2 linked regions of the Astyanax mexicanus genome follow. The protein of the gene in region 2 binds, or shares a complex with, the protein of the main gene of each other region. Links are inferred from orthologs where the notes say so. Each region holds a gene or a part of one and is shown on either strand. Other genes may lie near its edges.

Evidence for each region. Proteins that work in one complex are often made in the same cells at the same time.
Region 1: prpf3 (region 2) and smx5 share a complex: the UniProt entries of both Homo sapiens proteins name them as parts of the precatalytic spliceosome. The link is inferred for Astyanax mexicanus from reciprocal best matches to the Homo sapiens genes PRPF3 and LSM2.

What each region holds. Positions count from the first base shown.
Region 1 is NC_064412.1:47,970,549-47,978,602, forward strand, and holds the start of smx5 (smx5), read right to left. Parts: upstream 3,051-8,054; 5' UTR 2,952-3,050; coding exon 2,949-2,951; intron 1,580-2,948; coding exon 1,512-1,579; intron 786-1,511; coding exon 755-785; intron 663-754; coding exon 603-662; intron 1-602. Other genes in the region: inpp5d (phosphatidylinositol 3,4,5-trisphosphate 5-phosphatase 1), read right to left, coding at 6,368-6,417, 6,995-7,485. UniProt on the Homo sapiens protein: Plays a role in pre-mRNA splicing as component of the U4/U6-U5 tri-snRNP complex that is involved in spliceosome assembly, and as component of the precatalytic spliceosome (spliceosome B complex).
Region 2 is NC_064413.1:15,653,813-15,661,654, reverse strand, and holds the start of prpf3 (U4/U6 small nuclear ribonucleoprotein Prp3), read right to left. Parts: upstream 3,016-7,842; 5' UTR 2,842-3,015; intron 1-2,841. UniProt on the Homo sapiens protein: Plays a role in pre-mRNA splicing as component of the U4/U6-U5 tri-snRNP complex that is involved in spliceosome assembly, and as component of the precatalytic spliceosome (spliceosome B complex).

The DNA.
Region 1 (8,054 bases), on a different chromosome or scaffold from region 2:
GTTAGAATTTCCGGTGCAGCAGCAGAACACTGATAAATATTATAAAGGCAGAGACAAACATACAGAATAATATATCCAGTAGTTAAAAGGGTGTCACTGAAGGCAGAGAAGAATTTAGTTGTTAGTCTACTAACAACCACTAGATGTCATTGTATATTTTAAAAGTAATGTACCAGTAGATTTAGTTCTTCTATGTGGACCACTCCATATGTTTTTGTTTTTTTTTTCTTTTGGTACAATTTTTGAAGGTAAGGATATGAATTATCAAAAAGTGCAATCTCACATTTTTAATAAATGGGTGGGTGAGTAGGTGGATGGATGGAACACACCGTTTCTATTATTTCCCCCAAACAAAATCTCTTCTATATTTTAAATAAGGGGAGGTAAAAATGCACAGCATCACAAGTCAGGCCATGGTTTAATCAAGGGGTGGGGAACAGAAGGACTGCATCCCGCACATACTGCACTACTCTGCTCAAACACACTTACTAACCCTAAATTAACAGTTACAGCAACAGTGCAGATGAAGGCTGTATGAAAAGGCTAAATCCAGCCCTACAGGACACTGGATTAATCCACTGCCAGCAGTAAGTGTTTCTCACCATGTGTGGGTACTTCTCTGGATCAGTGACGCTGATGTCTGTGAGTTTGATGTTCAGATACTGCAAAAAAACAAAAAAAAACAACAGTTTCATTACAAACAGAGGCCAACATTAAAAACGGCAAATATAGAATATTGCATAGTTTTACATACCTGATCTACAGAGTGAAGTGTGCCACATATGCTGCAATGTTTACACAATTTTAAAGTTAGTAAACAGGCCAAGGAAACTCAACTAAACTCAAGTCATTCTATGCATTTTCACATGTTCACAATACACAGAACTCTGGTACTAAAATGGCCCATTACTTAATGCACTTTACTTAAGTATACCCTTACACTAAAACCACAGTGCCCAGTGTATTTAAATTGACAAAAATATATATGTAATTTAGTAATTACAGGCAGATGGTAACCTGTGCATCAGGTGTGATATGTAACAGTATTTTTTATTTTAATATCTTGTATAAAATGGTTTTAAACACATTTACAATGCTTTGTGCCTTTAACATTTCAGAACCATTCAAACAATCTTGTAAGCTGTGTAGTCTCCAATAAATAAATAATAATAAAAAAAAATTATATATATAATAATAGTAATAAAAAAAAAAAAATATATATATATATATATATATATATATATATATATATATATATATATATATATATATATATATATATATATACATTATTTATTTATTTCATAGGTGGGCATATAAGTCCAACTCTCCAGTCTGTGTGATGAAAGCAGCATAAGAGTCTATGCCAAACTGGTTAACTCCAGCACTGTATACCATCTAACCTTTATTAAAACCATCCTCTATTAACTGCTATCAAAAGGTAAATTGTTTAATTAACCATGAGACTAAATTTAAGTATGAGTCGACAGGACACAATGCACTTCACTCACCTCAGGTCATTTTTTAGCTCCACCACCACGTCTTTACCCACCAGGGACTTGAAGAATGAGTAGAAAAGCTGTAAAAAAAATTAAAATAAAAATAATAATAATAATAATAATAATAATAATAAATATATATATATATATATATATATATATATATATATATATATATATATATATATATATATATATATATATATAAAATAATAATAATAATAATAACATAACATCATTACACAAAAGGTTAAAGTACTCCTAGCCAAACAACAATTAGTCGTTCTGTTATTACTTTAAGAAATTAAAATACTTTTAATACCCTTTTTGAGATACTTAAAAAGAATAGCAGGTCTATTATGTTTACACTTAAACAGATTTATTCTAATTATGTTAATACATTTGTTTGTGAAGATCAGTATACTATACTAGTTAAATACTTTAGTACTTTACTTCTAACTCTATTTTTAAAAAGCCTGCTTTAGCTCTTTTTACTGAAGGACAGGATTATTTAATGCATTTTTCTGTAAAAAAAAAAAAATAAGTAATTGAATCACCAGTGGGTTTACACGCACGCATGCACGAAATTATGTATTTAATTATGTAAAGTACCAGTCAAAGGTTTGCACACACCTTCTGATTCTGGGTTTTTCTTAATTTCTCGCTTTACTTATTTTCTACATTGTAGATTAACATTAAAGATATGAAAACTATTATGGCACTATACAAACTATTAGTCCTCCTCAATCCCCTAATCTAAACCTGACCAACTGAGACTGTGATTTGAGCTGGAGCTTTACAGCGTGAAGAAAAAGCAGCAACTATTGTTCAGCACCTCCAGAAACTCCTTCAAGACGCTGAGAAAACTATTCCAGGTGACTCTCCCTCATGAAGACACTGAGATTAAAATACAAAGAGTGTGCAGATCTATCCTAGATGTGCTAAACTGAAATCAATTTGCGAGTTTAAAAAGTCTGAAGTATAAAACATATTCTGGTTTGTTTAACACTTTTTGTTTATTTATTCTGCATGTGATCCTGTACCGCTTGAATATAGTCTTTATAATATTAAATTTACAACGTAAAAAATTTCTAAAAAGAAAGAAAACACACTTAATAAGAAGAGGTGTGTCTGGTACTGTATGTAGGTTAGAGTAGGTTAAAAGTGTGGAATATTAGTTACAGGTTGTCGCTGAGTTTCTAAAATTCCTCCACATAAAAAGCAGAGCATGGATTTCTGATTAAATATAAAATTAAACCGGTTTAATGGACTGACTTACAGCTGAACACAAACACAGGCTAATAACGACTAAGTTACAGTGTTACAGCACTACTAAGCCTAAACCACTCACATTTAAACACTTTTAGAACATCTATAACTGTGTAAAACCCCGTCTCTGCGCTTTAAACAGATAAATATAAACATTAAACTAAAATAAAATAAACTCACCATCTTCACGCGCTCTTTGTGCCCGTAGAATCCTACACCTGAGCAAGCTGCTTCGCTATTGGTCAGGTTAATTAGCCGCAGATTTATCCTCGATGCTTATTGGTTGACTCTGCTGTCGCCATTCATGTGAGGCTTATCTGAGGATTTCAAAATAAGAGAATCACAAAAATAATTTAAGATGTATTTTTCTCTTCATGTCTAAAAAACAGTTGGTCCAAAGTCATTTTTGAGGGCTAGCCAAATTTAGGATGAATATAATAATAATAAATAAATATGTAGTTTTATTTTAACTCATATAGTTATAAAATAAAATGTCGGGCAGGTGTCGGTGACTTTAGTTAGTTTGTGATAAATTGGGAAGGGGGTTATTGCTGTATTGATGAAGAATTATTTATTAATTTAATTTATTAAATTATAAACCAGATTTTGATTATATTTTGATTTGTTTTTTGTTAAACTTCTTTTTCTGAATTCAGCGCTATTGGTAGTGATCCTGTTCTCACCAGCAGGTGGCGGCATTGTCACAGTAATCCCTCACCATTCCGGCTTTTACGTAAATCGTCTAAACAAGTTTAATTTCGCTTTTTTTCTTTAAAGGTTTCAGTAAAAACAACATTATGAGTTTATATTATTTATTTTAAGTATTTAATCATGTATCTGGTTGGTTACTTTTAATGTACACAAATGATCCATGAAATTAGATACAATGACCATTTTTACGATTTATTATAAGTACAACAAAAAATAGTTAAATATTCTCGCTTTAAAATATTTGTAAATGTATCTGCATCGTAGATTAATATTAAAATCATCCAATCTGTAAAAACAAAAAAGTATTAAGCAAACCAGAATATGTTTTATATTTTAGCAACCTCTTGCTTAAATGTCAGCTTTGCACATCTCTCCAATTTCCCAGTCGGCTTTATGAGGGAGACTTTTTAAGAGTCTCAGCTGTGTGTCCTCAAGAGGTAATTACTTTTTGAGCCCACAGCTGACCCTGCTAGGCATGAGCTAGGCATAATCTAACATTAGGTTCATTAAACTGCATTAAAATGCAAAAACTATGGAAAACTATGGAAAATGTTATATCTGAAAAGATTCTCTTTAATTTAAGACAAAGTTTAAGATATTCAAAGCAGTTCAGGGGGAAATTTTTCACTACCTATATTACTAAATAAGAATTGATGTATGAAGTAATTAATAACCTTAATGTGCTTGTGCAAAGTAGTGCAGAATTTTCCCTTGTTTATATGTATGCATACCTTGTTTATTAATAATACATTCACATTTTTTAAGTAACATTTATTTATGAATGTATATTATTTTGTTCTTGCCTGACCTTTGTGGGTATAGGAGTGTGCGTGTGGGGTGTAATTTATATTTTTCCTGTTTTCTTCTTTTAGTTAACCTTGTTAAACAATTATTGTAATGAGTTACAATTGATGTATGTAAGAACATACTGATAGAAAAAGTTAATTACTTGAATTTCTTGACTCTTAATGTGTTTGAGAGCAAGAGGTAGAGTTGGTATACAGTGAATAGCACTATATGAGTAATGTTCTAATTCGTATTATGGCAAGAACTACTCAAGTAATTAAAGAAAAAAATACTGAAGGTGATGAAGGTCAGTCAATCTGAAACATTTCAACAACTTTGAGAGTATCCTCAAGTGCCCTCAATTTATCCTCATTTTTTATATGTAAATAATTAATACAAAATTAGCAGAAACTAGATTTAAAATATAAATATTTTGATAAATAAAGTTAAAAATCACACAGGAATTACAGCAGGGATAAGGGGGGTACAGTATATAGTACTAATTAACAATCTTCCAAAATCTCTTTTAAGTGTGAGAAAGTATGTCAAGATTATAAAGTGGAAAATGCTTTACCGTCCCAAGTTATCATTAGCAGCAGAAAGCTAAAAGGGGAAACAGACAGCAGACAAACAGACACATTTCTTATGATTTTAATGCAACATTTCAATGCAGAAGGTAACCAATGGAGAACTGAACTGATCACAGCTGCTGGAAAGTGGGTGAATTATTAACAGTGGATATTAATAGAGGATTCTCTGCAGGACTAATAATTTCTATAAATATTATCATTACTTGGTTCCACTTTACCACAAAACTTTAGAGCTGCAATTTTCTGTGTAGTTTCTACCAAGACTCAGTCTGGGAACACATGGTGAATGGTCCAGTGTACCATAGCTTAGGATCAGTCATCATTACTACATATCAGTAATAATTAGGGATGCACCAAATGTTCTGCAAAATTTAATTATTTAGCTAAAAATGGCAAAAAAAAGTATTGGTATTGCCGGGTTTCCTCCAGGAGGCCCACACAATAGCATTGTACATCAGAGCACTGCTGTACACAGTGCAGAGAGTGAGGGAGAGAGCCGACGGGGAGAGACAAACTTGTTACACTCACTAACTTGTTACACTCACTATAAGTTTACTCAGTTCACCATTTATTTACAAACTATCTGTTTTCCAGCTGACATATATGAGCTGTACAGGGCTAGGATAGTAACATTAGCTGAGATAACTCAGTATTACATGTGATGTACTGTAGCTTTCTGTGTCTCTATATGGCTTTAAGTTAATGTAGTACTGTTAGAATCTCATGGGTCATGAAGCTTCTGCATCTGTCAATATGCGGTGCCTGTTTTTGACAGGTTTAAAACATTTTAAAAAGTTTAAAAACGTGAAAAAAAAATTCAGTCAAATGATTTGTTTAGTTAAATTTTTCGGTGCAACCCTATTTATTATTACTTAAGCCCTATCCGGAGGGGATGTGCAGCCGGACAGGAATACAATTACCACAGAGGACCACAGAGTTCAGCAAAAACCAGTAGGTTATTCAGCCTGCAACTTTCACATACTTGGTCGTTCCGGATGGGAATAAAATCACAGAGGACCCCCCCATAAAAGAGAAAATTACCCCAGGACCCCCTGAGAAACTAATCCCATCCGGATAGAGCTTAAGTTCCAGTTTTGCACAGAACCAAATAATCTTTAGAACCTTTCTGTTTTCTGTGTGGTTTCTAAACACCTTGTCCAGTGGTCCAGTTTACCATAGCCAAGAGGGAACTGAACAAACTATCCTGACATAATCTGGATATTATCTTTCTGTCTTTGTGATAAACAAGTGCTGCGTATCATGATGCACCATGCAACAAAATCCCCCCAAAATAAAAGCAGATAAAACAGCTGTACATTCACAAAAAACAAACAAAAAACATTTTCAAAAAACATTTGTGCAAGATCAGAGTGGGATATCAGGAAGATCAGATAAGCGAGGATTCTCTAGGCTTCTTGGTTTTGTTTTTTTTTTGCATCTGAAATGTTGTGTGACTTGGGTGGGATTGTACAGTAAGAATAACATTGTTTCAGAGGAGAAAAATGTAGAGATCTATTTCAGCTGGCGACCCATCTTGGAAAGCTGTGGAGTCTCATGATGTCCTGTAAATAGAGAGAAATCAGCATTTTTAATATTATTTTTATTAGTTGTAGTAGCAGTGGTATTTATACACAGCTATTATTATTATTTGGGTGGTGGGTCGTTATGGCATTATGATGGTGGTGTATGAGATATTAGTGTATGTTGTGCTGGTACAGTGGACCATATACAGCAGTGCTGCTGGAGTTTATAAACACCTCAGTATCACTATAGACTGAGAAAAGTCTACTGATACTGTCCTGTCGGCAGCATCCTGTGTGCACTGATAAAGGACTAGAGGATGATCAACACTGTAAACTGTGCAGAAACAGATTCAGATCTTCAGTCTCTGACTTTACTTTATCTACAGGGTGGAGCAGCTGTAGGTAGGAGTGTGTAATAGAGTGGAGGACAGTGAGAGATTAAACACAGTGTTTAAAAACTCCAGCAGCACTGCTGCATCTGATCCACTCACTGTACCAGCACAACACACACTAACACCTTATACACCACCACCAGAAGGACTATATTCTTCTCTTATTTGCTAAATTCATCAAATAAATTGTAATGTACAATAAATGCTCAGTTATTGCATCATACCATCCTTCGGCAGTGGTTGGACGAGTCTTGTAGGCAGTCGTATCTTGCTGGGTAACTCTGCTGTGTCTCTGTAGTCCCGGGGTTTAGGCTGAGGCTGGGGCTGGGGCTGGGAGTCCGGTTGGCCGGGGCGGAACTTCATTGGCAGAGGAGGCTTCCCAGCTGCCATCATGCCCGCGTCAGAGCGAGAGGGCACCACAGGCTTCTTGGAGTAGGACTGAGGCTGCAGGCTGTTGTTGCTGCCGATGCTGGCGGTGGTGGTGGAGGCGGGGGAAGACGGTTTGCTGTCGGAGCAGGTGTAGGAGCGGTTGCGGGGCGTTGGGACAGGAGGGGGGCGGTCATTGTCGGTATCTGGGGGTTTGGGAAACGCAAAAATTTCTGGAGGGGTAAGGTGGGCTTTTCGGGGATTCTCCTGATCCTTACTACTTTGGGATTTTCCCATCGAGCCATAAAGAGGATTATCAAACATCTCCGGAGGCTGACCATCTTCCGATCTAACATGAAATAAAAAAAAAAATTATATATATTTCATAATTTGGATAAAAGAAACAAACATGCATACAAAGTACAATGACAAAGTCATAGGACAGCAGTATAAATCAATGTATATCATGCATATGACCATGAAGTGTGACCTCAGGAGACAGCTGGCTTGGGAACACTGGTCAGCTTGCTCAAGGTAAGGCCAAGTGAATTATGGGAGTTGGAGTGAGGTTGGCACTCTTTACCTTCCATGGAACATGAGACTAGTTCTTAGTTATTGTCCCATGACTTTTGGCATGTCAGTGGATTTTATAAAATGATACTATATTTTTAAGAACTTTTTAGGAACTAAATGTATCCGTAAGTGCAGTTGCAAAGACCTTAAAAATGTTATAATGAAACTGATCAGAACTGCCCCAGGACAGAAGGAGCAAGAGTTACCTCTGTTGTACAGGATAAGTTCATCAAAGTTACCAGTCTCACCACCACAAGTTAACAGCTCCCCAGATAAGAGCACCTAAATGCTTCACTTCCTTCATAGTCTGAATGACTTTTATTAAGTATTAATTTACAACGTAGA
Region 2 (7,842 bases):
TGTCACAATAATATATATATATTTTTTTGCGTTCGTCCCACTGGCATGGCTGGGAGCCATTTTGATTATATTAACACCACATTAGTGTACCCTGTCTTCAGGTGGAGAGAAACCCTAACATTTGTTGACAGTAACTTGTCTGCAGATGATTGAGAGACATAACTGTCTCATTTGTTTTGTATCAGTGTCCTCGAATTACCAGTTGCCCTTCCATTACTATGAGTACAGTGGGGTTGGATTCAGAGCTATAACTTGTGATTATTTTAGAAGTCGACTGTTGATTCTTTTTTTGTCAATTTGTCAATTTTTTTTTCCTGCCATGCTCTCCATCTTTGCTTCCAGTGGGTATGCAGGTATACCTCCTGTTCATACCTTTCTCTATCGCTTTAAAATTACACAAAAAGCTGAATGTGGGACAAATGCCCTTTAAATGTTTTAAAGACATTATGCGGAAATATGTTGATATGTATCTGTTGTGCCTGTCATTTTTGGTAAACATGGTGAGTGAATAGTCCTAATTCCTTTTCCAATCAGAGATGTATAAAGTACAAGAAAATAAATCATTTGAGTAGAATTTGAAGTGTTCTTTAAGCACCACACTTAAGTAGAAGTACTAAAGAACAGTTTTTGGACTTAATTATTGCAAGCACAAAAGTACTGAAACTAAAATACAAATAGTGTTATGTAGTTATTACGGCAAGCAGTTGAAAGTTTTTATAAAAAAAGCTTGATTGCTTGATTCACTCAATGATGAGGCAGCTTCATCAATCCTGGTGACAGTGTTGTGTGTCTACCGCTCTGGCTTTAGTGATAATGTGGGTTTGGAACAATCTGTAACTTTTTGTAATTGTAAAGAGCAACGATGCAGCACTTAAAAAAATGATCCGAGTAAAAGTACCTAACTTATCAAAAATATGTAGTGAAATAAAAGTGTAAGAAGAAAAAAAAATACTCCAGCAGATACAGATACCACATTTACTACTTAAATACAGTAGTTAAGCAATTCAACTTTTTTACTATACATCTCTGCCTCCAATAGGTTTCTATGGCCAGCATTTTGTATATAGTGCATATCAGACAATTGTTTATATTTGACACTGTCAATAAAGTCGACTAATTGTTGCAGTCCTTGTTAAGTCCTTGTTTCAAAAACTGAGCTCAGTTTTTGAAACAAGTGATTGTCAAGCAATCTCACTGTCGCAGACAAATTTCCAGTCGGGTTACAATCACGAGTCTTGCTAGAGTGAAGCTGTAGTCCAGTTGTTATAGCATTCAGTTTAAGTGGATTGAAAGTTGTAATTAGTCTATTTGGAGTCCTGCATTCAGATCAAATCAACCGTGTTTAATATTATCACATATCTTGAGACATGGCTCACGCAAATAGTGAGGTGAACAATGTCAACAACCAATAACAGAAGAGCTATGGGAAGCCGCAAGGCATGAATATTTTACATGACTGTTCATAAAAGACATGAAGAACAAGACATTTTGCAGTTAATATGCCTTATATGGTTCTTACTTTAATAAGTACAGTATTTTAAAACACAGGTAGCACTTTAGTCATTATTTTTTAAAGTTATTTCATTTTGCACTACTTATAATTAATAAATACACATCTTGCAAGAATGATGATCTTTATGGCAAAAATAGGGCAGAAGAAGCTTACAGGCAGAGTTGAACACAAAATGTGTTTTATTAAAAAAATATAAAGAACTAACAGTGTTGCAGAAAAAGAAACTGTTGATGGGCACAAACATTGTGAGTCTCTAATAAATCACAGTATCGATGAGCACATTGTTTGTAGATTAATATGCAATATGTACTGTATATAAGGTCCACCAGAAAAAATATAGTTGCAGTTTTGCAATTACTGACCCCCAGTCTTTGCAAAATCTTAACATGTCAGTAAAAAGTATGTGAGTAAAAAGTCTGTGATTAGTCTTTAGAGGTGCGAGGGTGTCAGACTTTAGACTGTTAAGTCTTTTCAAAGTCGTGTAGTGTCTGGACAGCATAAACCATTCTGGTGTCAAACAGACCGCAAAAAACATGTGTGCACAAATTGTGTACCAGGACATTTACAATACATCATGCTAACCTAGATAGTTTAAAGCTCACTCGACTATAATCATAAATTTAGTAAAATACATTAAACATTACGCACAAACATGACGTCAACCATTTTTTTGCAGACTTAAAAGATCTAACAAAGATAGTAACGTCTCTGAAACATCTATCATTGAATAGATAAGAAAATAACACACATACTAAGCCCACACAGCTCTCTCACTGATAAAATATGGATAAAGGAACTGGCTCTAATCCAAGTAACCTACGTAGCTTCGCTAAAGCTTATTGGGTTAGTTCTGACTGATTAGCCACAGTACAGGACCAACACTTATGATATAAATCGCATAATTGGAGTCTACGTTGATGCGTTTTATATAATAAAACACCGTGTAGGTTTCTCTGTGTGTTTTTGAAAAACAAAAATCCCCTCCAGGCCTAGAAAACATAACTAAGCTACAAATTCAGCTGCTAGCCTGCTGTTAGCTAGCATAGCTAACCTAGATACCAAACACTGGGCTGGGCTGTTATTAGCTTACATAGCTAGCGTTAAGGAGTTCGCTAAACTACTGTGGTTAGCAGCTCAGTACTGCTGGTAAAGCGAATATAACTAATTAAATAGTGCAATTAATTAATACCACAGGCGATATTAAAGAAGAGTAATATCGCTTTAGGGAGAGAGGTCTCGTGTTGTTCAGGCTAAGCTAACATTAGCTAACAGTCATCCACGCTTCAAACTCCCGCTACTGTTTAATACAGAGGATTTCACACACTTACCAGCTAATTCCTCTCAGTTATCGATTCCGCCCTAAGTGCAGCGGTGTAATATTAAACGCTCCGTGAACTACAGCCCGCGTTTAGCGCAGGACAGCTCTAAAACAGTAGAAATGTTTCTCCAACTTTCCAACAGCCGCTTCGCACACAAAACGTTGTGTCAGTCGGAAACGGAGACGCAGCGATTCCGCTCAGAGAACTCGCACCTCGCCCCCTGCCGCTGTGGCGCCGCACTATTATCAGTACAGAGGGGAACAGTACTAGTGTGTCTAGAATAAATCCTAGAATATCATTGAAAATTACTTTATTTTAGTAATGCAGTTCAAAATGTGAAACGCACACAGAGTGATCTATTTTAAGTGTTTAGTTATTTTATTGCTGATGATTATGGTGTAATTACGGTGCATGGCAATGGACAAATAGCTATTTTGTTCAAGGCTTGGTCAGAGGTGTCCAAACATTTTTTGTTGGGGGCCAGAAATAGAAATATATTTGAAGTCACGGGCCACACTCTGTAATAAAACAAATAATGAAATATATCACTTTAAATAATATTTTTTTCCTGATTATTTAATTTAAACTCCATTTTACTTGACTTACTATCTTTATCTTTGACAGTGTTGTGTAAACTAGGATTTTCCAAATTGATGTTTAATTTCATGATGTCTCTTAATATTAAACTCCTTAATTACGGCAACTTTTAGACTCTTTGGCCCGTTTTTCTGCGCTAGGAATGCGCACCCTCTCCGCTTTTACACATATTGGCCAGTTTTTCTGCGCTAGAAATGCACACTCTCTCCGCTTTTAGACTCTTTGGCCCGTTTTTCTGCGCTCGAAATGCGCACTCTCTCCGCTTCTAGACTCTTTGGCCCGCTTTTCTGTGCTAGAAATGCGCACTCTCTCTGCTTTTAGACTCTTTGGCCCGATTTTCTGCGCTACAAATGCGCACCCTCTCCGCTTTTAGACTCTTTTGCCCCGTTTTTCTGCGCTAGAAATGCGCACCCTCTTCGCTTTTAGACTCTTTTGCCCCGTTTTTCTTCGCTAGAAATGTGCACCCTCTCCGCTTTTAGACTCTTTTGCCCATTTTTCTGCTCAAGAAATGCGCACCCTCTCTGCTTTTAGACTCTTTTGACCGTTTCTGACACCTAGCGTTCAAACTTTAAATCTCACATTATAAAAACCTGCTTAACAGCGGGCCAACTTTTATTCTATTTCTAAAATACCTCGCGGGCCGCTCCAAAAAAGGAAACGGGCCGCAAATGGCCCGCGGGCCGTAGTTTGGACACCCCTGGGCTAGGTGATTTAAGATTGCAGTAGAAAACAGATTACCCATAATCCCTGCAAAAAGCATTGAATTCAACCACAGGTTAAAATGACATGGCAGGTTTTCACACGTTTTGTGGTCCAGCTACCAGGAAGTGCTGGAGCATTGTGATGCCAACATACACCAGGCAATTTCTTCTGCTTATTTATTATCATATTACAGTACAATCAAAAGACCCAATTATAATAGTTTAATAGGACCTCATAAGCAGCATGACTCAGTTAAAATAAAGAATAATGTCAAATAAATAAAGAATGAAATAGATTAAAACATATTTAAAACATAATCAGAGAAATGTATTTTGTTATATACTCTATACTGTGACGGAGCCCCAGATCTGTACTTAACAGTCAGATCTGTGGTTGGGCCCTCTGACGACTGTTCTTAAAAACCGGTAAGCTCTGTTATTCTTACATATACAGTCTCTTTAACTTAACAGATTCTCTAACCGCACATATATTACCAGTCTCGCTAACCACAAATTCTTTTTCTATTATTTTTTTCTGTGTATATTTGTGATAGAGCCCCAGCTCTGCACTAAACAGTCAGATCTGTGGTTGCGCAGTCTGACAACTGTTCACACAGACTGGCTTTGTTACTATTGTTATCTAATCAGTCTCTCCAACTAACAGACTCTCTAACCACACACATACTCTAATTAATCTCGCTAACCAAAGATTTCTCGTTCTGTCATTTTTGTTGTTCTTTTGTGTGTATCTGTAATGGAAGACCAGCTCTGCAGTAAACAGTCAGATCTGTGGTTGGGCCGCCTGAAGACTATTTACAAAAACTGGCAATTTGCAAAAGCTCTGTTACCATTGTTACCTATATCCTAACCAGTCTCAGTAACGCAGATTTCTCTTTCTATATTTCTTTTTTGTTCTTCTTCAGTTTTTTTGCAGATTTAGCAAGTTTTCCACCTACAAAGAATGGAGAGGTTTGTATTTTCTATTGCAGGTACACTTGTACTGTGAAAATAACACACTAAATGATTTTTAAATAATTAATTTGCATTTCATTGCATAAAATAAGTTTTTGAGAACATATTAACCAGCAAGATTTCTCACTTTCACAGACCTGTTCTTTTTCTTTGCACTCATTACCTGTATTAATAGGCTAGTATTAATTCCTCAGTAGTAAGCATTGAGGAGGGGTTAAGAGGGCATTGTGAAGTACTACAGGTGAGGATGGGCTAAATAAATAGTAAAAATTATTTGTTTCCTTAGAATCATTTAGAATTCATCCTTAGGGTTAAGGTAGGGTTAACAGAGTGATAAACCTTTCTTTCTAGGGTTGAGGGAAAATTATTAGTAACAATTATTGTGATTATTAATAATGAGGATAAGTTGAATATAGCAGCAGGAATTTCTCCATAGGTTTAGGGAAGGGTGGATAGGATTGTATGAATTCCTTAGCATAAAATTTAGACACAACGCTGAATTCCAATAATCAATTCCACAAATCGTCCACTAGTGTGCAGTCGAGCTCTTGCAGGAGATTGCTTCACTGAGTATAGAAAAGTCCTTGTGAGTGAGTCCTTGGCTTTATGAATAAATTTGGCTTCTTACTTTCGTAGTAAACACGCCTAGTGACTCTCAATAGATTTTAGCAGCACATGGGAGCACGTGAGATCAACCAATTAATCTGCTGCACATTCATCATTCATTCCACCCCTCCCTCTGTCTTCCTCTGATGTGGGTCATGTGGTAGCAGTAGTAGTAGTGTGAGCCCCGGGCTATGCTCCTCATTCTGCTGAATTTTACACTCCTCCCCTCTTTATACACATACTGCGGGATTTATCTTTTACAACACCACACCAGGCCCACTCCTCACCCCCTCTAGTGTACTCTACCCAGTAACTAACTAATATACCACACTACATACTGTACCACACCACAATGTAGTGTCCATACTGTTTTAAGATTTGTCACAAAAAAGTAAACATAATGAACATGTCCAGCACATCATGCTCGACTGATGGTAACGGACTATTTCTTATAGATTCCGTTAAAGAGTAAGGAAACTTTGTAAGATTATGAGACAAAGATTCTAAAAATAAATAAACAGAATAACAATCAAATGATTCAAATTGTGGCTGAGCCAAAACACTCCTTACTTCTTATATGAATGGACAGAGTTACAATGGATTTTATGACTTCACAAAAACATAAGAGTTTAAAATGGTCTGTTGGTGCAATTTTGGCTACATCCGCACTGTTCATAATAATTTGCAAACAACAAATCCAATTTGCCTGTAATCTGAGCATAGCTTAAGTTTTTATATAGAATGAATTTAGTGCAAAATAGAGTTTAAATGGACTGAGAAAAAACAGTTTGTTTAAAAAAGTAGGTAATACAGAAGACAAGCAACAAACAGGGTTCCTAACCAAATTCTGCAGCTGCTTTCTCTCCCTTTCCCCTTTCTCCTTCTCTAAATCTCCCTCCCTCCCTCTCTGGGTGCTGGGTTAATGACTGGCAGTGTGGACAGATCGCGTGTGTGTGGAGGGTTTTGGTTGGGCACAGGCACTGCATCAGTCTACACCCTTCCCCCACTCACTCAAATTCAACCCAGCCCAATTCCTCCCCACATAATATGCTGCCAAATCCTCACCAAGCACACCATACATCGCAATGTCAGTTCCTCACCACATTAACCACACAATACGCTGCCAATTCTTCACAAAGCTTAACATACACTGCACTGCTAATTCCTCACCAAGCTCACCACATAATGCACTCCCAAACCCTCACAAAGCTCACCATATAATGTACTGGCAGTTCCTCACCACTCGCTGCCATTTTCTCACCAAGCTCACTATACAGAACAGTGCCATTTACTCACCACATAAACCACATAACACACTGCCAAGTCGTCTCCAAGCTCACCATACAAAACACTGCCAATTCCTCACCACATTAACCCCATAACACGCTGCCAACTTCTCTCCAAGCTCATCATACACAACACTGCCAATTTCTCACCACATTAACCAAACAGCACACTGCCGTTTACTCTCCAAGCTCATTATATAACACACTGCCAATTCTGCACCAAGCTCACCAAACAAAACACTGCCAATTCCTTACCACATTCACCATACAAAACACTGCCAATTCCTCACCAAGCTCACCATACAGCACACTGCCAATTCCTCACCACATTAACCACATAACACGCTGCCAACTCCTCTTCAAGCTCACAATACAACACACTGCCGATTCCTCACCAAGCTCACCATATAACACACTGCCAATTCCTCACCACATTAACAACATAACACGCTGCCGACTCCTCTCTAAGCTTACCATACAAAACACTGCCAATTCCTCACTAAGCTTACCATACAACACACTGCCAATTCCTTACCAGCTTTACCATACAACACACTGCCGATTCCTCACCAAGCTCACCATACAACACACTGCCAATTCCTCACCACAATAACCACATAACACAATGCCAACTCTTCTCAAAGCTCACTATACAACACACTGCCAATTCCTCACCAACCTTAGCATACAAAACACTGCCAACTCATCACCAAGCTCACCATACAACACATTGCCAATTCCTCACCAAGCTCACAATACAAAACACTGCCTCACCAGAATAACCACACAGCACACTGCCGTTTACTCTCAAAGCTCATTATATAACACACTGCCAATTCCTCACCAAG